Drosophila melanogaster: one gene and its partner. The protein of the gene in region 1 interacts with the protein of each later gene in a pairwise test. Each region holds a gene or a part of one and is shown on either strand. Other genes may lie near its edges.

Region 1 (16,349 bases):
GCCGACAGCCGTCGCAATTGCAGGCGGAGAGAGGACCGCAGTACTCCGGCTGGCAGCAGGAGCACTTGAGCTGCTGAGCGCCGCAGTAGTGCTTGCCATCGTCGCCCAGGTAGGATAGTTGTCCGCGGGCATTTAGGAGCGGCGCGGTAGGCGACGAGACCAGCTCGCAGTCCTGGATCAGATGGTTCCACAGTACGGCGCCGTCGGCGGCGTTGCGCAGGGAGGCGATGAGATCGGCGCGCAGCCACTTGGCGTCCAGAAAGGGCAGCGGGCGCAGGTAGAGATCGGGCGAATGGCTGGGCGGTGCTGCTGATCCGGAACCTGATCCCGATCCAGATCCTGCTGCGGAGCCTGCTCCTGCCGCTGCTCCACTGGCACCTCCACCCCCTCCTACTCCAACTCCAGCGGAGACTGGTGCTGCAGAAGCGGTCTGGCTGGACCCAGCACCCTGGCCACTGGATCCGGCTCCTCCGCTCGCCTGGCGGTTGAACATGTTTGTGTTTTCGTGTTGCCTTCCCTAGTGCTCCACCGCCGAAGTCAGGCTAGAAACGAGCTCGACCACAACCACAACAACGACAATGGCATGGCACAGTTACCCCTTCAAGGGGGGTGTGGTGGTGGGTTGGAGCGCGGGTGGGGGCGGGGGCGAAGGCGGGTCAATGTCGTCACTGGCACACACACTAAGCACACGCACACGCGCGCAAGCACACACACAACTGCAATCGGGCGTCCAGGATCAGGATAATTCGTTGTTATCCTTGTCCGCACTGCTCATTTCGTTGTTCCGCTCGGAGTTAGTTATGACATCCTGACTTTTCCACCCGCACTTGAACTCTCCGTTTTCCGCGCTTGCTGCTTTCGGGTCACAATTGGAAGTGCCAGTTACCAGTACAATGCAATTTGAAATCAAGGAATTATTTTAAAATGAAATAAAATTGTTTGATGGCAATCGATATCAGGGGGAGGTGCAAACTGACTGAGCTATCAAGTAATCGATATCAGGGGGTCGAGCCATCGATATGTTTTGCCTTTCGATAGCTCTTCAGTGTTCTTAAGTCACAGGCTTGTGTCACGGATTAAAACCCAGTACAGTGGAAGCTGGCTATTAGAAAACGTTAAGCCAAACTCATAATGAGTTCCCTAAAATTCTGTAAATTTGTAATTTTTAAACATTAGCCTAAAATGTACTTGATTCTAAAATCATTTACAATATCATTCGGTTATATTACTCTTTCGTAACGCAAAAAAAGAGAACGCACATAACAAATTATTGAATACTTTTATTGTACTATTACGGTCGTTTTATTGCTAAAAGTATTGCATTTCAATTTACGTGACGGTGTGTACAGAATTAACTTTATAAATTGTTGAAACTCAACAAAGCAATACTATATTCTGTAATTTCCGAATATTTCTATTGGAGCTATCCAATCCGTATATTGAAAAAATCACTTTCGCAAATAGGATGTTTAGGAGTATACATATAAAGTACAGATTCTACAGATAATAAGAAAATAATATTTAAAATAAGTATAATTCTCGGACATGTAACGGTGCGTTCAGGCCAGGGTGACCAGTTCGTCGTGGCGACTATCGGTATTCTGGGCGAGCAAGTCAGCGGGCACACTGCGCTGCTGTGTCAAAACGAAACTGGAAAAAATCTGATTGAGTTTTCAGCGGACTTGGATCAATCCTTCCAATCCCCAAGAAATCGGGAGCAGACGGCCAGGATGACGTCGCGCAACCTGACGGAGGTGTTCGTCATCATGCGCAACAATGCGTCCAAGAACCGGAATCACTACGACGATCGGGTGAGTGCGTCTCCGTCTGGGGTCTTCACTGTTATCATCAACTAACATATGTTTTGCGTTTCTCCGTCTTCCAGAGGGGCAGCGATGCGGAGCGCCTTCTAAAGCACTCGGTGCGCGAGGCGGAGGAGGGACTGGAGCTGCAGGACGACTACGGCACGCCGCCCGCCTGGCTGGACAAGTTCGAGGAGGCGCAGTACACCATGTCTAAGTGGGTAAACAAACAGTAGTCCATGCGCAGGGTTCAACTTCACTCCCATCACTCGTTTGCAGGATCAAGCCTAAGCTGGATGAACTGGGCTCCCTGCACGCACGCCACCTCCTGCGACCCGCCTTCGATGATCAGCGGGACGACGAGTGCGACATCGAGGTGCTCAGCCAAATCGTCTCCAAGCTGATCACCTCCACGCACCGGCACATCCAGTGCGTGCGCAGCAGCATCGGCGTGGGCAGCAAGATGGAGCAGTGCCTGACGGTCAACGCGGTACACTGCGCCCTGCTCCAGCTGCAGGAGCTGACGGTGAAGTTCCGTGCCAGCCAGAATGCCTACCTGCTTCAGCTGAACTCCCGCGAGGAGCGCTCGCAGAAGTACTTCGACGACGGCGGCGGCGCTGGCGCTGGAGACGTCTTCACAAACGTGGAGCTGGGCGAGCAGAGCGCCGAGAACTTCGTCGACTCCTTCGACAACTTTCTGCAGCCGCCGGCGGAGGGCAAGTCCGGCAACGGCTATCTGTTCGAGGACGACGAGCAGGCCATCGACGATCACTTCCAAAGGCCGCCGGCCAGCCGGATGACCCAACAGCAGCTGCTGCTCTTCGAGGAGGAGAACACGCGGGTGGCGCAGCACCGCGAGCAGGAGGTGACCAAGATAGTCAAGTCCATCTACGACCTGAACGACATCTTCAAGGACCTGGGCCACATGGTCCAGGAGCAGGGCACTGTGCTCGACCGCATCGACTACAACGTGGAGCAGACGCAGACGCGCGTCTCGGAGGGATTGCGCCAGCTGCACAAGGCGGAAATGTATCAGCGCAAGAACCGCAAGATGTGCGTCATTCTCGTCCTGGCGGCGGTCACATTCTTCATGCTGCTGCTGCTCATCCTGACCAAGCTCTAGTTGCCCACGCGCCTCCAGTGGGCCGACCTCATTCCCGTCATTCGCTGTGTGTGTTTGTGTATATTGTAAATGTTTGAATACATGTTATTATATTTATTATTTATTGCTAATGCTAAAAAAAAAACCGCAACTACTCCCTCTCAAGTCGAACTCCACTCCAGTCCAGTCCACTCCAGTCCGCTCTCCCAATCACATGCGCTCCGAGAGGCGCGAGGCGACTGCCCGCAGGTTGCCATACACCTTGCTGGGCGGCGAGCCGAGGATTAGGTTGCAGACGGCCCGGCGCGCAAGCTGAATGTTCTGGTAGCTGCCCAGGATGTGGATCTTGCTATCGGCTAGCACGATGCGGGTCTTGGTCACGTTCTCGATGGTGAATTTGGTGCGGCCGCCCTTGCCGGCGAGGCGGCCGATGGCGCGAGACTGGTGGTCGCCGCGCAGCGTCTTCACGTCCTTGATTTCGAACGACTCGACGAACAGGTCCTCCAGACGCAGCAGGGCCAGGGCGTCGTCCACCTCGAAGCCGCAGAGAAAGGCGCGCACGAAGTCGGCGCCGCGCTGCAGGTTGGCTATGTCCGGCGTCTCGGGGCCCACACGCAGCTCCACCTGGCGCGCCTTCATGTTGAAGCGGATCTGCAGCTTCATGTGCTCCACCACGGGCGTAAAGATCTTCATCCAGTGCTCCTTGAGCGAGGAGTACCTGTGTGGCGGCACGGATACCTTGCGCAGCTCGCTTCTGGCCCGCTTTGCCTTGGGCGGCGCCGATGCTCGCGAAGATCCCAGCACCTGGCCCTCAATGCCGGTCGCCTCGTCCACCTGCATCTCCACGTCCTGCTGCCCGCCTCCGCTGGCTCCGCGCTTCGTCGCTCTCTTCGCCGGCTCGAATGCGTCTGCTCTGATGTTCTCTGCCTCCATGGTGCAATCTGTTGTGCTTTTACTGCGTTGTTTCCAATAATTTCTCAATCCAGCTGCTTTGTCTGCTCCACGTGCTCAGTGTGACCGCGCTCGAATCTGAGATTTCAAATACATCTGTAGCTGAATACCACACCACTGAATTTCGACGAAAATACCAATGCGTATGTACAATTCTACACTGGCTAAAAAGTATGTAGAATGTAGAATTCCGAAATATAATACGCCTGAATTCTTGATAAGAAACATCATTGGATTTGAAGGCTGATTGAAGTGCGAATTCATATTTGATCACTCATTGAATTATTGCTGTTTCAAAAGTAATAATTCAAGTACAGCCTAAAGCTATAAGGTGACGTCACTGTCATATAGAACAACACAATGTAAATTCTCAAAAGATGGCAAAGGGTACCGAAAGGAATAATGGTTTCTGTTAGGCCCATATATATGTATATATATACTGTTATATATATACTGTTAATATATAATAACAGTATATATGTACATATATACTTAATCTTAATTTTGGAATCATATTCAGATAACTGTTAATCAGCTACAGACGAGTGGGATAAATATAATTTAAATATATCATAATAATTTTATAATATATATAATATAATTAAATATAAATCATTTTTGCATAATTATTAAATGCAACCCTTTCATTTTCAATCAATCAAAAGGTAGCCTATTTTTGACATTTGGTTTGCTTTGGTCCCTATTGAATTCAGTTCACATCTAGAACCCGTACCGGAGAAACCATTTCCATGTCACAACGGAACTTCAAGATGCCAAATCCGAACAACGAATCCCATTCCTATTTCCTCCGGAATATTCCGGAAGAATTGCAGCCTCAGTTTACGCGTGGATTCAATCAGTGGATGGGCAATCAGTCTACGATGACTAAGGGTTTGCCATCCAATACAGTGAATAAGTCTGCCCAGACGGCATCTGTCAATGATGGCAACTTGCAAGCTAGCGTGATCGCAATGCTGGCAGGAATGGACTCGATCTTGGACATGGAGCAGCCTAACAGAAGTCCTTCGCGCGAAGAGCACGAGCGCCTAAATGAGCTGTTGTTCAGCAGCAATTTGCTGTGAGTTGAAGTAATTCGTGGTGAGAGTCCTGACATAAAGTTCATAGTTTCATTAGCATGCTGGACGTAAAGAAGCGAACGTTTCCCGTGGAGGACCCAACTGGGTATTTAACTTCGGTTTCAGAGCAAAATCCAGATGGGAATCCGTTGGCTAAGCGACTAAAGCTAGAGCGTCCTCAGGGCTGGTAAACAAGTCTCACGAGGAATTACCTTCATTCTACACATATTCAATCATACATATCTTTTCAGACACTAATGACCAATGTCTCTTCCTCAGAGTCTCTCAACCATACAGGACATTAACGAACCATTAAATAAATCACTATAAAAATAAATCACAAAATAGTTCAGAAGAGCCGTTTTATTTTACCAGTTAAGGTCGGTAATTGAAAGAGTTTCGCAAAAGAGGCACGCAAAAAGGTATACATACATAGCTCATACACCTTTAGCTTAGTAATGGGTATCCGATAGTCGATGGTCGACGTGGAGTATGTGCATATGTATATGTGACTTTTTAATATATAAATATACATATATGTATGTGTTGTGTGAATATAAATTCGTTTATAATTGGGGAACGGCATTAGAATGCGAAAAGGTAATATTATTAAGTGAATTTAATGTCAAAAAGGAAACCATGAGTGTCCTGCGTGGCATAGCAGCTAGCTTTTAGGCCTGTGCTCGCCAATCGTTATCGAAAGATGGCAATCGAGTAAGCGGGTAAATTGAAGTTTAGCCGCAGGCGGGTATTAGGTTTTCAGATTAATGGTGGTCAGCGTAGGCGGCGCTCCTCTCGCAGCCATTAAAAGTTTCTGGGGATGCAATGGGACTTACTTTTGCATCAACCGCAGCGATAAGAAGGCCATTGCAATGCCTCCTATTGGCCTGCACTTGAAGCAAAGTTAAGTAAGCCAAAGTGGAGTTAAGTAAAGTTAAGAGCGAGTAATGCGGCCACCGCAGGCAGGCGATAATCTCAAGCTTGCAATTGCACTGGCAATTTGTTTGTTATCTTCTCCGTTTCCGGTTCCCCACGCCCTTTCTCGTATTTCTTCTCTTCCACCTCCTGACCCTTTTCCGGCCTCTTGGGAAACTTTTCCATGAGCATGAGCTATTTGAATAAGTACACTGGACAAAACTTGCTTAAGAACTACGGAGTATTGAAGATGCAATTTATATATATATAAAACATACATACTTAGCATCTGCTATCTATTCGGATATTGCAGACTCCATTGAGATCCAGTTTCTATTATCTAAATATTTTTTTTTTTTTTGTTTTGGGGTTATTCAACACACTGATGTGGTTTGAATATTTCAAAACTTGGTACGTTGAAGTGTTTATTTTCTTTGTAAAAATCTTGATTTTGATACAAACTTACAAATGGTTATAGTAAGAAGTGGATTAACCAGAAACTTTTCGAGTCAGTTAACGATGCACGTTTTAAAAAATAATTGTGTATAGCATCAGAATTTACCTACTCCTTTCATTTCGATCGGTGTCCAAATTGTTGATACACTTATCTGGGCATTTAGGCATTTGAAACTGGGACTGCATATATCCGCCAACCAGCTGAGCTCAGTTCCTTCTTTTTTTAACAGTGCAAGGAATTCGTGGGCGATATGAGTGCAAATTGCGTTGGCTTTCATTTGGCATGCACTCATTTGGGTTATCTGCTCGCCCACTTAATAAGCTTAATGACTCTCGAAGCCGTTGGCTGCACATGATTTTGCCAGCAAAATCGCCTAAAAGCGCTCGCCGCTCGAGTTGCGCCACGCCCACTTCAGCCGCACCGCCCACCTCGGAGATCCTTGGTAGCCTTGGTAGCTCCGAAAACGACGACGAGCGCGAGATGAAAACGCGAATACACGCGCAAGGGCCTCAAAGGTTTTGAACGAATTGCACCAAAGTTATAATTAGTTGAGCTTAGATTCGGGCCAGGACCTCAAAGGCGAGCATGTATCCTGCGTCAGCCACACGGGAAGTAAATCAACAACAGCTACGCCCAAACTGAAGTACATATTTCGCAATTAGGCCGCGATACTGCCGGTCTGTTCGACATTGATTTGGTCAAACGCAGATGTGCATTGATGGCTACGACCGCAGTTTGACTTTGACTTAAGTGTATGCACATTTGGCCAGCAAAAGTCATATATACATACATATGTTTGTACCTTTTTAATACTCCGTGCCTGAGTCGCAGTCGCAGTCGCACCCTTGTTTCGCCAGGATAAGCCGCTTAAGCGTCGCCTATTGCGGCTCCTTCTTTCCGCTGCCACTTTGCTGGCCATTAGTATAAGGTCCTGCGACACAAGGTGATGCTGCCCCGACTATTTGCCAAATCCTATCACTTTTGGTCCAAATCCTTGCGGCTCGAAAGAAACTGAGGCGATGTGCAGAACAAAAACAGTGTCATCCTGCAGCGGTATAATGGACAGACACTAACACGGGCATCATTAGCTGAATAACCATATTTATATATTCACCGTCCCATTTGCGGGTAGTTCATTGTGGCTTCTCAGGTTGAAATGAAAAACGTTCCATGTCTTGGGCCGGATCATGGGAACTGGACAGTCCAGATTTTCAAAGAGGCAACTGGCTTTCAGCACCCAAAACACATTGTTGCCACCTTCATTGCGGGTAAATACGTTGCTAGTTCCTCGAACTCGGTGTAAGACAAGCTTGGTCGGGCCAAGTCTGCAATTCGACATGATTGCTCCCAAACATCTCGCCCTTCCCAACAAAACTATAATATAAGATGGATTCGTGGAGGGAGCGTCGCGGGCCTCAATCGGAGACGTGCTCCTCCATCCGTCGCGTCCAGCTCATTTGGCGCTCGGCTAATCGCGAAAAGCACACATCGATTACGGGGCACGGCTCGGAGGCGGGGATGGGCGGGGCTCGAACAAAAAAAAAGGAGGCAGAAAAACGGCAGCAGAAACAGAAACCGAAACAGAAATAGAAACAATTAGCACGGAGCAGGACGTAATTGGCGTGCAGTTACGGAGGCTGATTAAAGAAGCAATCATAAAATTAAGACCCATAATCCTGTGCAATTTGGACAAACACACACACACACGCACACACACGAGGAATGGGTATGGCAGAGCAGAGTATCGCATGGAATCGAATGGAGGAGCAAGTGGGGGAATCCCAGGAACACGAAGCCCAGTGGAAGCTAATAATAACCGAAGGAAAGCAAAGCACACGGCAGCACAGGACCAGCACGGGAAGAACAACAACAGCACCAGCACAAAAATCACTTTACACGCTCCAAATACGAAGCGTGTACGAAGTGTGTGTGTGTGTGTGTGTGTGTGTGTGTGTGTGTGTGTGTGTGAGCGTGTGTGTCAGAGGCGTAGACGAAGGGGTAGCCCCACCAAGTCCGAGTTCGCAGTGCAGCTTAATGGCGAGAACTTTAGCTCCAAATATATCCCCAAGTCAACTGTAATAAAAAAATTAAATTTGTTACTAATTATAAACTCTTGCATACCACTGACTTTGAACAAACGAGCAGCGAAAATAAGTTTATTTTTCTGATAAATTTGATATGTTTGAAAAATAACAATGATTTAATTTGTTTGGTATTTATTATCTAATATCCATTGAGATTTCAACTATTAGTTGTCCTTTGCTAATACTAATGCATAAATATTATGTAAAGGCATAAGCCATCCGATACCCATTACATACACAAATATAAGTATATAAGTTCTTTAAGAGGCAACCAGTGTTGCAGCTTTGAGTTAAAGGCCCATTAAAGGACCCCCCAAAAACACAAGTTGCCACTGCCCCTGGCGTGTCCGTATAAGTGTGCCGGTGTCCGTTGTCCGGAGTCTGAACTGCAGTCCCGTTAAAGGACGAGACGAAGAAGTTGCTGCTGCTGCTACGTGCGGCGATTTGTGCGCCTTATAATTCCGTGCCACAACAGCCACATCAGATCCAGGAGCAATATGAAACCTTCATTAGCGAGCTGGCTGCGGGTGGAGTAGGAGGACCGGGAGGAGTGGGAGGATGCCGATGCCGACGCCCGCACCACCGCAACGGATTGAAAACGCTTCCGGCCATACAAATTGTACGTGAAACGTGAGAAATTAATTTCCAAGGTGGCCACACTACAGCCCAGGCCTCCACAACGATTTGACCCTGTCTGTGAGCCGTGCATCGAAATTCCGAGGGGACTTGTCCTTGGCTATCTGCATGTTGCACACTTGTACATACATACATATGTATGTTTAATGTACCTATATTGATTTAATTAAAAATCAATGCTAATAACTTGCTTACTTATCCATTCATAACAGTCAACCCCATTCGGCGGAATGTAGCGCTTCTGGCAGCTAGTGGGGTAAGAAGGTTTGGGGCCGCCATCTATGTTCGAATCCCAGAACTAAAATTGGGGCAGAAGAAGAATTCTTCGAGTCAAGAATTTCGGATTGAAAGAGGCAACAGAGCTGATTTACAGTTCCATGGGAATGGCGGTGGGACTTAGAGAGAGAGAGAGAGAGAGAGAGATGGGTTTGGCCGGAACCCGAAGGCCAAGATGGTTTTCTTCCACTTCTGACGGTCCGGCGAAGCAACGGACGCGGCTTTTCCGGCATTATTTTCACTTTGAGAATATCGTGGATGTGTCGACGTAAATCTTAAGGCCAAGTTGACGACCGCGAAGGGATTCCGTAACTAGACAGCTAGCTCGGTCCGGTCCGGAATAATTTTTTTTTCTCTCTCTTTATTTACAATCTGTCTTAAAAAAGTATGACAATAAGTAAATCTTATAATTAATCTTAATCTTAATCATTTAGTTCAGGGGTCGGCCAAGAAAAAGAGTGTAGTGCAGCCCAAAATTGAAGGGCATTTAAGAAGAAAAATGGAATAAGCGAGGAGAGCATTATTTCGTTTTTTATCGGTAAACTTTTCTTTATATAAGCCTTGAATTCCACAGGAAGATCACCCGAAAGCGCTTTCGTCACATAATCGCGCTCCTGGTCCCACGGTGCGGAAGGCTAAGCCTAAGTATTAGAAATTAGGATCGTATTCAAGGCCAAGGTCTCCAGCAGATCGGAATGGTGCAATTGATTTTCAAGGGCAGACTTTTTTCTGCAATTTAATTTGTCTTTGCAATTTACAGATTGATACCGCTTATTTCTTTGTTTCTTTTTGGTCCGTTTAATTTTTTACTGCTGGCCGTGCACACTCACATATCTCCGAAAGAAATGTATGTTTATTTTTAATTGATTCTTGAGGTGCCAAAATTGTCTCTCCACACTAGAATTTTTTCCATCTAAGTTAAGTATTGATTTAAAGGGGGATCGAAATCTGCAAATTGTAGTATTATTATTGACGGTCTGAATTTTATTAAGTTTCAATTAACATGCATGATAGCTGTAAGAGATTTGATTTGTGCTAATATACCTTTTTTGATATTGTTTTGAATGCCTATGACTATGATTTATTCTCTGTGAGCCGCGCTTAGCGACCAAATATGAATATCAAAGAAATTCTATCAATTTAATGACAGCAAATGCATTTTAGTTTCATACATTTCAAGTGATTGTTTTCTTTGCAGAAGGAGAAAGAACAGGATTTCTAAGGAGGTGTCGTCGAAGTAAAAGGTACGTATACTGCGATGCGTCTACGTTTATCAAATGCCTTGGAATGTTGTACGCTGTGTGTTCCATACCACGCCCGCCAACTCCTGACCACCTTTACCGCCCACTTTCGGCTCATCCCCTCGCTTTTGCGGCGTGGAAAAAGCGCAAATCAGCCACAATTGCCGCTGACAGACGCAAGCATCCTGCTTTGGCTTTTGTGTGCGTCATGTGAGTGTTAGTGCTTGTGTGTGTGTGTGTGTGTGTGTGTGAGCATCACTTTGTGGCTGCCTTCAACTCTTTTCCAAATCCTCCTGTTTCACTCTCCATCTGTCTCCATGGGGGTGTGCGCGCTTGGCTTTGACATTACTTGTGCTGCAAGCTGACAGATTTTCGTTACGGCAGCATTAAATTGAATTTTGACATTTCTTTGCATGCATATCGAAATAGGCGGCCACCGAAAATCCCATCCGTGGTGCAGTGCGGGTTGGTAAAGTTTTGAGAAAACTAAAAATGCCGCAACAATAAAGGGCTCACAAACAAATGGCAGTCTAAAGAAAAATTATGGCAAAAAGCCGTTTCAATCTACTGCTGTCCAAGTCCCCATATCAATAGTTCCATTAAAAGTTTCATGCTACGCCAAAATGTTTTCATACGCCATTAAATAATAATAATAATGAATAATAATGAAAAATTTGGATATAATTTTGTATACTTATTATAAGCAACTCTTTCATTTTCAATATTGAATTCAGTTCACACCTACAAACCGCACCAGAGAAACCATTTCCATGTCACAACGGAACTTCAAGATGCCAAATTTGAACAACGAAGCACGTTCCTTTTTCCTCCGGAATATTCCGAAAGAGGGGCAGCCTCAGTTTCCGCGTCGATTCAATCAGTGGATGGACAATCAGTCTAACAAGACTAAGGACTTACCTTCCAATATAGTGAATAAGTCTGCCCAGACTGCACCTGGCAAATTCTCGATCTTGAACTTGGAGCGGTCTAGCAGAAGTCCTTCGCGCGAAAAGCAAAAACGCCTAAATATGCTGATTTCCAAAACCAACTGCAGTGTGTTGCGCGGGTGAGTTCAAGTGATTCGTGGTGAGAGCACTGACATAAGTTTGATGGTTTCAAAAGAATACTGAACTCAAAGAAGCGAACGCATCCCGTGAAGGACCCAACTGGGGATCTAACTGCGATACCAGAATAAAATCCAGATGGGAAGCCGTTGGCTAAGCGGCAGATGCTGGAGCCTCCTCTGGGCGGGTAAACAAATCTCACGAGGAATCATGTTTCATCTACACTTATTCAATCATACGTATCTTTTCAGACAACAGGAGATTGGGACCCTCAACAAGACTAACGCCTTGGAAAAGTCGATGAATTACCAACAAAATGATAGGACAGTCGACTGATTAGGTCAGTTTCCTTCCACAAATGCAGGGAGCATGCAATAGGAAAAAAAAAAACTTTAAAAATGCAGATAGCTTTGAATTTGTAAGACTAGCTTGTATCGAAACAGCTGTATACTAATTGCTTATAATAATTTATAAACCGCCAGTGTTACTTTTTAGTTTATTTTGTTTGTTCGGAAGATGGAATTCCATCTCCGTAGTTTTTGCCTTTATTACCTTATTTGCCTTTATCCAAGAGTCCAATAAGCTCGTCCTTTACAATCATAAGGTCCTCGAAGGTGTTGCACCCTGTAGGAATATCGTTCACATCGCGCAGAAGTGCGTGGACTGTTGCAGGATACTCTAGGTGATGATCGTCGGCGAGTTGCTTAAGAAATCGAACAGCCAAAAAAAGGCGACGGTACCAATCCCTGAGTCATCGTCAGTAGGCGAAAATGAAGCGGCGTGTCATTCTCAGTCTTGCTGTCCAGTTTGATGACAGCAGCACCACGATGTAGAAGCAAGTATCTGGGGCCTCTTTAAGCTGAGCCGATGTTACTTGTTCCATATGTCCATGTTGCAAGTAGTCGTCCAGGAAAGCTTCGTACTGCTGCTTCAATTCTGTAGAACAACGAAATTTCCGTTCCAGCGAAAACAGGCGATTGATGGCCTGTGGCAAGGTCGATTCAATAGGCGGTGCCATCTCTTAGAAAGGTTACTCGACGACATAAACCCCTTTCGTCGAGCGCTAATGGGTGGCAGCAAAATAACGCTCTGCAGGATCGTTAGCGTCCAAGAGAGCCTGATTAGGTTGAATGCTGTCCATCTCTATGAATGAACGAACCATTGTGTCTAGGTTTGCGTGATGAGTAACAGCAATATCAATTATCGCAGGCAGAATAAAAACCCTCAATAAACCAATCCATTCTCTTGTGAATAGAGACCAGAGCTGAACCGATCCAACGATGACATCGACTGCTCCTGGTGTGCCAAAGGAAGCTCGCAGATTTGCTTCCAAGTAAAAGATGAGGTGAGTATAAACGAGACCAATTCGAGAGATTCTCCCGATTGACGAGAGCGCAGCTGGATATGCCCGCGCTGTTGGCGACGACGACCGAGAATAGAAATTCGTGCGAGAGTTCGACGCAGGCCTATTCGCTGAACAAATGATTCCGATGCCAAGGTTATTGTAGATCCAGTGTCCAAGAGCAGCCTGCAGGTTGTAGTATTGCCATGACGTCGGCAAGGATCGTTGGCCACAGAGTCTGAGAACCTGCCGCCGGAATATTACCCACGGCATGATGCTTAATGTTGTTTTCTGCGGCAGGCTTTTCTGTAGGAGACTCGCTCCCCAAGTGATGACCTTCACGAACTAGCGGTTGATTGTGGCCAATTGTAGATCCCTCGCGTGAGACTGATGGTCAATCACGGCTGTCAGCACTTGCTAGTTTCCATAAACCAAAAAAATTAGCCAGAGATCCCGCTCCTCACAGTTAAGAGCTTGTAAACCACGAATAACTTCGTCTGCACCATCGGCAGTCATCGAAGGATCATAAAAACTGTTTAAGAATTACCGAATAATTAGCGATTGTTTGCTACATATATCGCTCGTCCAGTCGATGCCATGCTTCCCGATAGTTACCCGTTCCTCGTAGAGTAAAATGGTATACTAGATTCGTTGAAAAGTGTGTAACAGGCAGGCACCATAAAATTTATTAATGTATATATAGTTTGTTGACCCATTGACCCAATTGCCACGCTCTTACGCCCACAAAATGCACAAAACTGCCACGCCCTCACTTTTGATAAATGTTATGATATTTTTTCACATTTTTTTTTACATTTTTCTTGTAAATATCTATCGATTTGCCAAAGAACTTTTTGCCACCAATATTATATATATTCCCCAATATTTTCTCGATATCCAAGAAAAATTATGAAATTTTGCGTTTGCTTTCACGTTAGCTGAGTAACGGGTATCAGATAGTCGGGGAACTCGACTATAGCATTCTCTCTTGTTTTTTGTTTTGACTGAATCATTATACCCCCAGTAAGAGCAGGCAAAAGCTTAGTATTAGGAGCATTTGAGAACGACTTTCTCACTGAGTGCCGTTTTTTTTTTTGGTTCCCGTGAGCACGCTCGTTAACGAGGATTTTGAATCAAAGTGCATTTTTGCGAGTTTAAGGAGCTTTTTATGTTCTTGCCGCTTTTAATTGAGCTGCAAAGAAGAGTGAGAAGGAGGGCGGAACAGCGCTGAATTTGTGATTTTCTGGCGGCATGCCGACAACACGAATCCGAGTGTTTAGACTTTGTCGAATTAGCCATTGTGATAACATTTATGAGCCCGCCGCTCAGGGGTTGTATGTGTTGTGTTGTGTTGTGTTGTGTTGTTCTTGCGTTCAGCCGGTGCTCCATCGCACTTAATTGGGCAAGCGATTGCCTGACTTGCTTACAAATGTGTGTTTGAGTCGTCGGAGCCAAAAGATCACCCATCTCCCATCACCCATCACCCAGAACCCAGAAAAATGGAAAATGTGGAGTTCTGAGTGGATGGGGGGCGTCACGCGCTTGAGGACACGCGCACGTATTGAGCATGTGTGTGAATATTGCACGCGATAAATTATTTTAAAGCGCGCTTCCCTTACCGCTTTCCATTTCCCATTTTCCGGCCCTCTGGGTCGACCCTGCAAACATCTATTTAATATAGCGCTACGCATCAGTTTTAATATTGTTACGATTTTATTTACGCACATGAACATTTATAAACGTTTATGACATGTCATCCATACAGGCCATCCTCCTTTAATTCCGCTGTTTGCCTTCGGTTTGTGGGTCGACACTACTCAAATAATATTTATTGTTTCTGATTTTTCTTTAGTCATTATTATTACGCATATTTATTATGCATTTATTAATTTGTTTTGCTGTGGTTTTTCCCCACCTTCCACACCCCGACGAACGGACAAACGGACAAACAGACGAACGGACACATACGGACACATACGGACACGGACAGGGGAATACGGATACGTCAGTGGGCAGGTTAAACATTTTCGTTTGATTTGTTATCATTGTGGACCGCGTTTTTGCTGCTTTTGTTGCTGCGGCTGTCGTGGCTCGATGATGGCGTTTGTAATTTCGTTTTCGGCACTACGTAATTTATTAACTTTTCATTGAAAGTTATGTGCAAACGCACGTTGACGACATCTTTAATTAATTACATTTTAACATGATAATTAATAGTGCCGCGTGCGTCGACAGGCCGACAAAGCCGCCAAAGTGCCGAGTGCCAAACGCCAAACGCCGAACACCCCAAATGCTAAATCAATCGATGGGTGCTGGCTCCATACCCACCTAGAAAGCCACCTGAATCCGCCCGAACCCATGCCGAAATCACCCAAGCCCGCGACCTTAAAGCAGTCCGATCTTGAGTTAGGTTATGGCTACGTGCCGGCGATACGAAGTTGGCTCGGCTTTAAAGCCAAGCCCATCCATCCATCGGGGAGCATCGATAGCCATAATAATAACAGCGGGCACAATCAAACACACTCAGTACAAAGTCGTGGGCACTGATGATGACCATAATGATACACAAACAATTGCCAAGGAATTTCAATTCAATTCCCTTTAATACCCATCAATTGTGCACTTTTCGGCCGTGTTCAATTGCCTTGTGTCAAGTCTAAAGAAATAAGTCTTTCGTGATTTTCAATTCGAATAACGCTTAAAGAGGGTATATTTTTGCATGTAATGTATAAAGTTCTTTTAAAGGTATTTTTTAAGGCATATTTAAAATCCGACAACAATATGAATTTGACTTACATCAGGACAACATCAATAGGGAGTATTCCTGAGTCCGGAGAGAGTTGCCTCCATGGCGAACCATTTCCACTACTGCGTTTGTACTTTCTGTTTTTCCGCATCTTGGGTGTGTGCTTGTGTTTTTTTATCATTCCGCCTTGTTCACAGGACTCTTCGTCCTGCTGGCCGCCCAAGAAAGTTGTTCGCACAGTAGCAAAGATTGAGTTCTTATTCAATTTGTACGGATTTGTTGTTCGCCGGTCCTTTTGCAGTCCGCTCTTAAAGCCTAACCCCAAAAGCCTCCACACCACCACACACCCCCCCAGCTCAGTTGCTCCAGGTCCTGTCCAGCCACTCATCTCGGCCAATCCCAATCCCCAATTGGCCCCGGCTCGAGCCCACTCAACTTCTCATTCTTCTTCGGCTGCTCTATTGGAATTTATTTCATATTATTTTCGTTGGTCATGCCACAGTTTGGCCCCGTCAATATTTCTCCCTACCCCTTTTCCTAATCCCAACCCTAGAACACCAAAACCCGAACCCCCGAACTTAAACCACCGGCAATACAAGTTGGCACTGGTCGGCATTGTTTTTGGGGTGCGATGGCAAAAGTTCTTCGTGTTGTGGA
Region 2 (10,854 bases), on another chromosome or scaffold:
GGCTGTCTACAAGAGTGTCTGGAGCCAACAGAAGACATTGAACCAGAACTATCGAATAAGCTCCATCAAGTCAAGAGTAAAGAACTACAAATTTCAGCCAAAAATACCCACCTGGTTGTAAATCCCACGCCATGCCGCAAACGCTCCCATGGCCAAGACGGCTCCCACGCCGGCTACTATTTTGGTGTTCAGCTCGGAGTCTAGGAACTTGCGCTCCGAGGCCGTCAGACTGGCCTCCGTGCCACTGGGTGTCTTTGTGAGCTTGACGGAACTGTATCCCTCGATGCGGAATATGTCCTTCGTGATGCGGTTGATAAAGTTCACTAGGTTTTGGCAGCCCTTAATGTGATTCTGCAGTGGATTGTTAGGCAGTGCGATCTTAAAGATGATGGCAAGATAGCTGTAGACAATGGCATCAAACTCGCTGTAGGTGTCGCCAAAGAACCACACCTTGCGACCCAATTTCCGGGAGAGCAGGTTCACCACTTTTTTGGCATTGACAACGAGCTGTAAAGTAAAATGATTAATTGATAGTTAAAGAAACGTCTTGCTTTTCACAACATTGATAAGATATATTGATAACAAAAGACCAATACATGAGAAACTGTTTCTTATTAATATAAACTGATGAAACGTTTCCAATCGAAATGCAGCTTGGGTGTAAAACATAGGTTAGATAAACAAATTAAAAAATCCTCGGATTTAAAGATACAATAATGTAATATGAGACAATATGAAATTGAAAGCACTCACGTAGTCGCCTTCGTGCTTGTCCAACTTGTCGTTCACATCGAAACCGGCCATCACCTGAACCACGTCGCAGGCTTCCCTTTGGTAGGACGACGGGTAGTAGAAGTTGAAGGGGAATGGCGTGCGCTTGGCGTAGAGGCCCCGCGTGGTTGTGTCAAAATTGTGAGGCTCTCCAAACAGGAAGTAGTGGTAGTAGGCATGCAGATTGGTGAACACCCAGTTGGCGTAGGCGGTGGACAAATGCTTTTGTTTAGTGCTTAAATGCGCATCTATCGGGTAACCCTGAAAGAATACGTCGAATTAAGCCCATAAAAAAACACATATCTATAAATAGAGCCTGCAGTTTGTTCACCCCGGCATTGTTTTGCTCACTCACCTCGAGATCCAGCACGCGCTTAATTTGCCTATAGCCCGCGAACTTCTGGTTGCCGATCTGCAGATACGGCAGCTTCCCGGCTCCCGAACGCAGCGGATTGGAGCTGGTCTGCACGTCCATGGGGCAGCGGGTGAATCGCAGGAGGCACTGTTTCCGGCAAAGAGGCGCTTTCATCAGTTTCTTTCATCATCTGCGATAATGGGCAAAACAGGCGTGCTGGCCGCCGTGTGATGCAACGGAACTTACCAGAGCACGTAAACATTCAAAATCTATGGACGGCAGTCCGTACTCCCCCTTGTACACATACAGCATGGCTCCCAGTTGCATCTCCATTGTGTCCTAGTCTATGCTTTGCTCGTACTCTTGTATTTAGCCGGTTTTCAACAGTCCACCTGCATATCAGCCATCCGAATTTGAATCCAAAAATATATGCCAGAATTTCTGGCCGACTGCTGCGAGTGCTTCAGACTGATAACTACTGGGCACTCGATATATCGCTCGAGCATATCGGCGCTTTATCGATTGCCGGCCAGGGATGTTGCTACTCGAAGTTTATTTTGGCTAATGAAAAGATACGGAATTATGTTTGAGCTTAATTGCTATTTATGTTTATCTTTATTGCTATTTTTATTATACTACCAAAAAATTGTAAGTTTTTATCTATATGCATTTTTACATATTCACATTATTTTACATTAGCTAGATCTAGCGAATGTTACCCAAATGTTTGGTCACCGCTGTTATCACGGAGCTATCGCAATTGGGGCATCTCCAACCCATCTGTTTGCGAAAAAAAACATTAATTTCTGATTTTCGCAGTAAATTAGTTAGCAGTCATGAATCTGATAAGCGGCATTAAGTTGTACATCGAGAAAATGTGCTCCGAGTCGGGACCGGGCATGAAAATCATTCTGCTGGACAAGGAGACGGTAAGTGCAAGGACTGACAATCAAATCCCCTGCCATATGATCAAAAATTCACATCATTCGCAGACCAGTATAATTTCGATGGCCTTTAGCCAATCGGACATGCTGCAACGGGAGGTGTACCTATTTGAGCGCCTGGACTCGGGAAGATCCAACGAGCGGTTAAAGTATCTAAAATGCATCGTCTTTATACGCCCCACCAAGCAGAACATCCAGCTACTGGCCAACGAGTTGCGGAACCCCAAATACAGCGCCTACTACATTTGTAAGTGGGTCAGTAGAAGCACCTTCGGAATAGTACTAAACTCATAAATAGATTTCAGCAACATCATTCCCCGGACGGACATTAAATACTTGGCAGAGTGCGACGAATCCGAATCGGTGCGAGAAGTGAAGGAACTGTATGCAGACTACCTGTGCGTCAACCCCAATCTGTTCTCATTAGGCATTCCCAATTGCATGGCGAATCTTAATTGGCTGCCGGACGCTCTCAACCGCAGCATGCAGGGCATCACAGCCGTGCTGTTGTCCCTTAAGCTGAACCCAGTGATCCGGTACCGAGCCGGTTCTCAGGCAGCGCAGCTTCTGGCCAAGCTCATATACGAGCAAATCACAAAAGAGTCCTCGCTATTCGACTTTCGCTCCAACATGGATGGCGCTGCGCCACCGCTGCTGCTTGTGCTGGACCGCAGGGACGATCCTGTGACGCCGCTTTTGCATCAGTGGACATACCAGGCCATGGTGCATGAGTTGCTGCACATAAAAAACAATCGATTGGACCTGTCCAATTGCCCCAATGTGCCGAAAGACTTCAAGGAGCTGGTCTTATCCGGTGATCAGGATGACTTCTATGGCAACAACATGTACGCCAACTACGGCGAAATCGGATCTACCATCAAACAACTGATGGAGGAGTTCCAGCGCAAGGCGAACGACCACAAGAAAGTGGAGAGCATAGCAGACATGAAGAACTTTATTGAGTCATATCCGCAGTTTAAAAAAATGTCTGGCACTGTGCAAAAGCATTTGTGTGTGATTGGAGAACTGTCGGCGCTGAGCAACAAGAGGAATCTCTTCGAGGTTTCCGAACTTGAACAGGAGATCGCTTGCAAGGCGGAGCACTCGGCCCAGCTGCAGAGAATCAAAAAACTAATTGCCGACGAACGGGTTTCCATCGATGATGCTCTTAAGTTGGTGGCACTTTATGCATTGCGATACGAGCGACACGCCAACTGCGACACATCTGGACTGCTGCAAATAATCAAAACGCGCGGTGGACGAGCGGCTATAGTGCCATCGTTGATTGAGTATGCTGGAACCCATGTACGACAAGGAGATCTCTTCAATATGGTGCGGATAACGGACGCCGTAAAGCTGACACGGAATTTGATTAAGGGCCTTAAGGGTGTGGAAAATGTCTTCACACAGCACACTCCTCTCCTGAAGGAAACTTTGGAGGACGTGTTTAAGGGCCGCGAGCTGGATCCCCTCTTCCCGGCCATCAATTCAGAGCTTGTGCCATTTCGACGACCACCGCAGGAGGTTGTCGTGTTCATTATTGGCGGTGCCACGTACGAGGAAGCCTTAGCGGTGCACCAGTTAAACAACGCCGGCTATAAAGTCATTCTTGGCGGCACCACCATCCATAACTCGCAGAGTTTTATCCAAGAGGTCGTGGCCGCCACTAGTGGCATTCAGTTTAAGCACACCAAATCCATGATCAAGTACTGTTCCACGGATAACATTTAAAGTCTATTTTGACTAGATAGCCCCAATTATATTGTTAACTATTTATTAACTAAATATGAATGTGCATTATGTATTAAGGTATTCCATGCATTGTACCAATTCAAATCCATTGGACTATTTAACCTTTTAAGCGTAACCATGTAAACATATTTATTGTTATTCTCGAGGGTAACACCAGGCAACGCCTTGGACAAAATGTATTATATACAACTATGTGTGTACAAAATTACTAAACTCTCGTTGTCCTTGCAATAATTCCACCCCGTTTCGGCAAAAAGTTCCTTGGCAACTCCCAGGCAACGTTTCGTTTGGCTCAAACAAGAATCTGATTTTTCATTGGAGGAGTATCATTGACCATCATGTCCAGCACATATTTCAATGATATCTGGCACCAATCCCAGCATGAATGCGAGCTTCTATCCACGATTGACTATGAGAGGCAGCACCAGGATGTGGAGACGACGGTGGCCACCATGAATGCAGCGGTCGGATCCGTCGCCGCCGATGCGGATGCCAAGGCCTTGCTGCAGTCCAGTCTGTACGAGTTCTATCTGCGCTACATATGTCTGAGCAATCGTTTGGAGGATGTCTATGATAATGTGGGTATACGACTTTCTTAAACAAAAGTGGGATATATATAAGGAGATGATATATCCTTTGACTCTGGTTTACTTCTCATCTTTCATCATAGATGATTCAGCCTCAGAAGCGCCAGTTGGTGCGTAAATTACTAGACGCCTGTCTGGGTCGAGTGGTGGAGCTGAAGCACGATCTCGTAAATATCGACTTGATGGAATTTAGCTACAACGACGAGGTGGTGGAACGCCTGCGCCTGACGCCCATGGAAACGGAGCTGAGGATACCACGCTACTTTCTGCGCGAGCGTCAGCAGGAGCTAGAGTTTCGAAAGAAGACCATGCATGAGATCCTAACGAAGCTGGGTTGGCTTGAGGAGCACGAGCTGGAGGAGACGGTTACCACCGAGATCGAAGCCATTAGGATGCTTCAAATGCACGAGCGAGCGCGACAAGGACGCTTGCGTGCCCACTTCATGAAGGAGATTCGCATCCTAAAGGAGAAGGGCAAGTCGGAGGAGCGCACCGAAAAGGAGCGCAGTGACTCTGGTCTTTTGGCTGCCATGAAGATTCAGAAGATGTGGCGTGGCCACACAGCCCGACGGATAACGCGGCGCCGCAAAATGGAGGAGATGATCCTAATCGGAATGCTGCCACCACCGCCGGCTGTGGTTAAGGAACGAGCCGAGAAGCTGGAGAAGCTGCAACACAACGAGAAGCGCTACCAGGCGCAAGCGTTTTACGGCAAAGAGTTTGAGGAGCGACAGAACGCACTAAAGGAGGAGATTCGGGCCAAGCACGGAGCCAGCATGAAGGAGGACATTGCCGATGAGATTCGGGCTTGGGTAAAGGACTGCTACGACAAGACTGGCAAGCTGCCGGACTTTCCATCCGAGGATCAGGGCGGCTCATTGCATATTTTCAGCAGACCTGGAACTGAGAGCGAGCACAGCCGTTCGTCGGCCCGCTCCTCCAAGGAGTCGCGAAAGACCAAGGATAAGTCCAAGTCACCCGCTCGCAGTGGTGACCTCAACGTCAACGAAAACCAAGACGAGGAAGTTAGCTTCCAGCCGGCACCGTCCGTTTGCCTGCCAGACATCCGTGCGGAGATCGATCTGTGAGTAAAGATATATAATAAATTGATCCAAATTTAATCTTTTTACAACTTCAGGTTTAACGATACCTGGCGTGATAAGGATGAAACCGGTGTGCTGAGCCAAGCGGCCTATGAGGACATGATCTACAGCGACAAGTACCAGGAGGTGGAGCTAGAATTTCGGCGCGCCGTCGACGATGTGATGCGCCAGGAGATCGAGCTGCTCCAAACGGCCGTCGGCAAGAAGGTGAAGAAGAGCAGCAAAAAAACTCGGCGATCCGGCAAGAAGAGCAAAAAGAAGAAGGAGAAGGATCTAACGCCGGATCGCACTACGGAGTCGCTGTACGAGGAGCTGGTCACGAATGGCATAATCCGGAAATACCCGGAGCTAAGGCTAAAGCAATTCCTGGGCGATAAGGCGTTGACTGCCAGGATTGGCACTAATCCCTCACCGGGCGACATTCGCCAGATTCTCACGGAGTACTGCATCCTTCCACTGGGATCTGATGCCATACATAACTGTACTCCACTGATACGTTCCATCCTGTTAGCTGGCCCCAAAGGATCTGGGAAGAAGGCACTGCTCCACGCCATTTGCACGGAGGTGGGTGCCGTGCTCTTTGATCTGACTCCTGCCAATATTGTTGGCAAGTATCCTGGCAAATCGGGACTGATAATGCTAATCCATCTGGTACTGAAAGTGTCGCGACTGCTCCAGCCTGCGGTGATATTCATGGGCGATGCGGAGCGGCCCTTCATGAAGAAAATTCCAAAGACGGATCGCACAGATCCCAAGCGACTGAAGAAGGATCTGCCCAAGTTGATAAAGAACATTGCGCCCGAGGATCGCGTCGTTTTCATTGGCACTTCCAATCTGCCCTGGGAGGCGGATCAAAAGCTATTGCAATCCGTCTACAATCGGTTCATCTATATTCCACGACCGGATTACGGCGCCATGTCACATGCCTGGAAAACATTGTTACAGTGCGTAAATGTGGGGGATTCATTTGCAAAATAATCTACTGATTTGGTTTGCACCCCGACAGCGATTACTCTGGTGGCATTTCCAATCTGGACACCAGCGCCATGGCCAAAATATCAGATGGCTATACCATTGGGTCCATCGATGCGTGCCTCAAGGAGGTGATGACCTGCAAGCGGAAACTCCAGCTGCGCACCCAACCATTGACCAATGCCGAACTGATCAATGTTCTGTGGTAAGTAGATTTGGCTATGAAATTAGTTAGTTGTTAGTTTCCATGCCTTTCAGCTCACGAGATCCCGTCTACCGCGAAGAGGAGGAAGCTTTCGAGTCCTGGTGGTCGAAGACCCCGCTCGGCCGCCGTCGTCAGCGGTTTTTGGAGCTGGAGGAGGAGCGATTACTGGAGGAGCAGGCGCAGGCGGCCAAGCAGGGAAATGGTAACAAGAAAAAGGGTCTTAATTAAAAGGTAATCACTGGACTTCTTATATTTAAGCCTAATTTGTAAGGAAACATCTTTGGATTGCTAATGGTAACCATTCATTCAACGCTATGGCTTGCTTTACAATCTTGCTTTTATTAGCAAACTACAATTTATATGTTCATATATATGAGCTAATATGGAACAGATTACATTTTTGATACCTAATAAAGTCAATATATATTTTCCACTACATTCCAATTGAAAGATCAGCATGCATAAATATTTATGATTCAGTTAAAGACTGGCAATATCCTATTTCAACGAGTAGGTAAAATCCTTGTTGCCGCACTTTAGGTGCACCTCATTGACCGCCAGGCAGAGTTTGTCCTGATCATCAAGGAGCTCTTTTAACTCCGTGAGCTTTTCGTTAAGCAGTGTCTCCTGGTCGCCAACGCACCAAAGAAGGCTGACGTGGAACGAGGCCGGATCATAGAACTGTTGCAGCCGGTAGTCGAGCATCACTTGGTCGATGGGCTGCAGAATGGCAGTCATCTTCTCCACAAATGCAGCGTCCAGGGGCGCAGCAATGAAGGTCCTGGTTCGCTCCTCATTCGTGTAGATCCGCAGCCCCTGCAAAGTGGCGGCGAATCTAAAAGAGGATTGGTCATCAGGATGGGAGATACTAGATTTAACTTGGTTAAACATCTCACCCCGCAGAGCTGTTGAGGGCGCTTTGCAAGGATCGGGAGAATTCATCGATCTGATGGTACTGCAGCACCACTGTTCGACTCAGGCTCAGATGGAGCGACTCGTTCGGCTGCAGTTCCAAGTGTGGCTCCAGACGAGCAATGGCCTCCGTTTGGAACTCCTCCAGCTGGTCAACACATGCTGTTGCCGGCACATAGACGTAAGTGGCCCAGTTTCCCCGTTCATGCTTGAAACTACGCATGCGGCCGCCATGTTCCGCGGGATCATCCACCACATCCTCGACGAACTCCTCGGGCTTGGGCTTCTTGGGGCCCAGCAGGGTGGCTGCTTTGGGTAGGGCCGGTCTTTGGCGGTTATAATGTAGAAATCTACGGGTATTCCAGTAAAGGACGTTACCTTTTCAAGGTGATCAACGCGGGAGTTTGAATGTTTTCGGTGCAGTCCTCATCCTCGGAGGCGGAGGAGCTGCTGCCACCATAGTCCACCAGGGCCATATTATTATTTATTTATGTATTTTTATTTGATTGCAGTAAACAAGAAATGACCAACAGCACAATGTTCGGCGGTTTTTATTTACATTTATCGATTAAATTGAAAGTGATGTGTATTTAGCTTGGTTTTAAATTTATGTTGATAAACTATTTTGTTTTAAGCAATTAAATTGCAATTAATAACATTAAAAAAAAGTTATAAAATTCACTTTTAATTATTTAAATAGTACTTATTTTTTTAACATTTTTTTACTGTAAAATTTCCACTTTAAATGTATTGACCGTTAAAGCCTTAAAACTTGTTTTTATTTAGACTAAATCCATTGAAATGCACAAATTGGACTACTACAAACTGGCTTCAATAGCCGGGCATTGCTCGCCATTTTTCTCCAGCCTCGACTGCTCCCACTGGTAGTTGTAGTACCTACCCAATTGGAAGAGCTGCGTCAGACTCACGAAGAGATTAACCGCGAACAAGCTGTAGTTCTTGGGAATGATCACCAGAGAGTAGCGCGTCCAGATGAGGTTCGTTGCCCCAAGAGCCAGACATCCGTTAGGCGAAATCTTGTCCGCAGGACGCGTCAAATCACTGAGACCCGCGATAACGAGGCTCTGTGGTGGAATATAAACGGAATGGTTGCGGAGATTAGGGAGATCTGGCCGATAGTGCAGGGTAAGTCCCCCCATTGACTGCAAATCTGAATAGCATGTTGGCAAAGCTCCCCCCAGTCAAAACAGTAAAAGTATTATGAAATATTCCATGAGCCCCACAAACCGCACAATCATTCAGTTATCAGAATCTCGCGCGTGGAGAGGAAAATGGTATATAAGTACATATATACATATTTATCGCGGGCTTGAACAGGTTTGCCGAGAACTAAACAAATAATAATAAAACACAATATTCGCCCACAGGTTTGTTTATCAGTACGGTGATAATGGGAATTGGCTAAGGACGCAGGGTTCATGGTTATGCAAGTAGTGCAAAAACTTACCCACTTAACGATTGGAGCCCAAAAGAATATGGTCTTGGGTCCTGAAGGAAAGATATGTTAGTTCCTCTCTGTGCTTAAAATGCTTCTATTTATGATCACCTGCTGGGTGCATCCACAAGGGTCGCATCTTGGGGGGCACATACTTGTCGCAGGCCTTGATAAGTCCATTATATGCCCTGGAGTGAAGACCCTTTCCGGCGGAAGCTGCAGCCGTGGGCGCAGGTGTTGTTGGAGGAGTGGCAGACATTCCGGAACGCTACTGTTTTTCCTATATTTTCCAACGTCCAACCAATAGCAGATGCACAGAGTAACTGCTGGTCAGGTTTGCGAATTGAGAGGAATTCTATATGGCCTACCTGTAATCAAGTATTTGTTGAGTATGGGCTGATTGATTGGAAGCGCTGGAATAACAATCGCCTGGGACTGCGATAAACCAGTTGGGAAGTAGTGCTCCTGAACAAACTGAGGCACAACAGCTCCAACCAGGCGTCCATCTACAACTGAGCTTTCCGAAAAGTCCGGGGTCCATGCACATATGTTTATGTTTCTCTAGTATTATTAGCTTAGCGCTCCTGTTATCACCAGCACTATCAGCCACTGGAATACGACGACGCCAGCCCCTTTTTTTGCACTTTGCTTTTGCCGCAAAACTAATATAAGCTCTTAGTTATATTCTCCTTTTATTGGTTTTTAATTAATTTGTGTTGACTAATTGTGTAAAACTCAACACAGTTATCGAACAGCGAATGTGCAAATAGATTCATCACACATGGCGTATGAGTTATCTTCTTGATAATCCGGTTTTATTGCAATCTAAGGATTTCTACTCTTTTGCAATTATTGTAATAACAGCTCATTTCATTTAAATCAGTCAAACATAATTGTATTAAATCAAAGAATAAGATATTGATTACCTTTGCCTTTTGGATATGTTTTCCTAATTTGGCATACTTAAAATAATACTTTTAAGAAAATATCTTTTAGCCAGTTTGGTTCATTTATATTACTGAATATAACCCATTGTTGGGCCACCATGTTGGGCCACATCCACTTTAATAAAACGAACAACTACGTTTATCTAGTGACTAAAGTCTTAAAATGTATTGATTTATCATTCTCGTTTCGATTTAACTATACGCAAAGCCTCCACAGTTACAACTTAAGTAATACGAATCACGTCGATAAGGCGGTGAACCATAAATAATAATGGTTAACAGGTTGTAAAACGCAGTTTCGCGATCTGCTAGTACAGCTTCCTCTTAATCCTTTCGTTTACGTTGCGCGTTGTGGGATTTGTATGTACATAAAAGTTCGATTAAAGTCTATATAAAGGGGACAGCACCGGTATTCGATTCGATATGTATCTAATTTTGCACCGCCGGCTGCTGCTGCTCCTGCTTCAGCTTCTCCTGACTCTGGTGGTAGTGGTAGGCCCGTGCCAGCTGCACCACCTGCGTGATGCCCACGAAGAGATTCACGGCGAACAGGCTGTAGTTCTTGGGTATGATCACCAGCGAGTAACGCGACCAGATGATGCCCGTGGCAGCCAGGGCGGCGCATCCAGACACGGAGATGGTGTCGGCCGGTCGGGCCAAGTCACTCAGGCCGGCGGCAACGAGACCCTGGCAAAGGAGATAAAGGATTCGATTGCTTATTTAATTTTTGTTTTAACTAAAGGACGCGATATGCTTAGGCATCTTCAGTTTCTATGTTTTAGTGCCGCTATGGGAGATCTCAACTGGCTGTTCTTTGTTTTATTTATTTGTGGCTTGATATATGTATGTA

Evidence for each region.
Region 2: the proteins of Syx16 (region 1) and Vps45 interact in a two-hybrid assay, tested with the Drosophila melanogaster proteins (2 studies listed by BioGRID).

The regions. Positions count from the first base shown.
Region 1 is NC_004354.4:20,379,024-20,395,372, reverse strand, and holds Syx16 (syntaxin 16), read left to right. Parts: upstream 1-1,621; 5' UTR 1,622-1,730; coding exon 1,731-1,811; intron 1,812-1,885; coding exon 1,886-2,019; intron 2,020-2,081; coding exon 2,082-2,925; 3' UTR 2,926-3,039; downstream 3,040-16,349. Other genes in the region: HERC2 (HECT and RLD domain containing protein 2), read right to left, coding at 1-493; l(1)G0004 (lethal (1) G0004), read right to left, coding at 3,115-3,837; jb (jean-baptiste), read left to right, coding at 4,605-4,933, 4,990-5,118, 5,183-5,183.
Region 2 is NT_033777.3:9,562,064-9,572,917, forward strand, and holds Vps45 (vacuolar protein sorting 45), read left to right. Parts: upstream 1-1,860; 5' UTR 1,861-1,962; coding exon 1,963-2,055; intron 2,056-2,118; coding exon 2,119-2,317; intron 2,318-2,368; coding exon 2,369-3,801; 3' UTR 3,802-4,029; downstream 4,030-10,854. Other genes in the region: CG9393 (uncharacterized protein), read right to left, coding at 112-507, 754-1,032, 1,127-1,273, 1,373-1,459; CG16789 (uncharacterized protein), read left to right, coding at 4,161-4,400, 4,493-5,493, 5,548-6,456, 6,519-6,689, 6,743-6,917; CG16790 (uncharacterized protein), read right to left, coding at 7,188-7,524, 7,586-7,927, 7,980-8,077; CG9396 (uncharacterized protein), read right to left, coding at 8,420-8,686, 9,070-9,110, 9,169-9,316; CG9399 (uncharacterized protein), read right to left, coding at 10,434-10,691.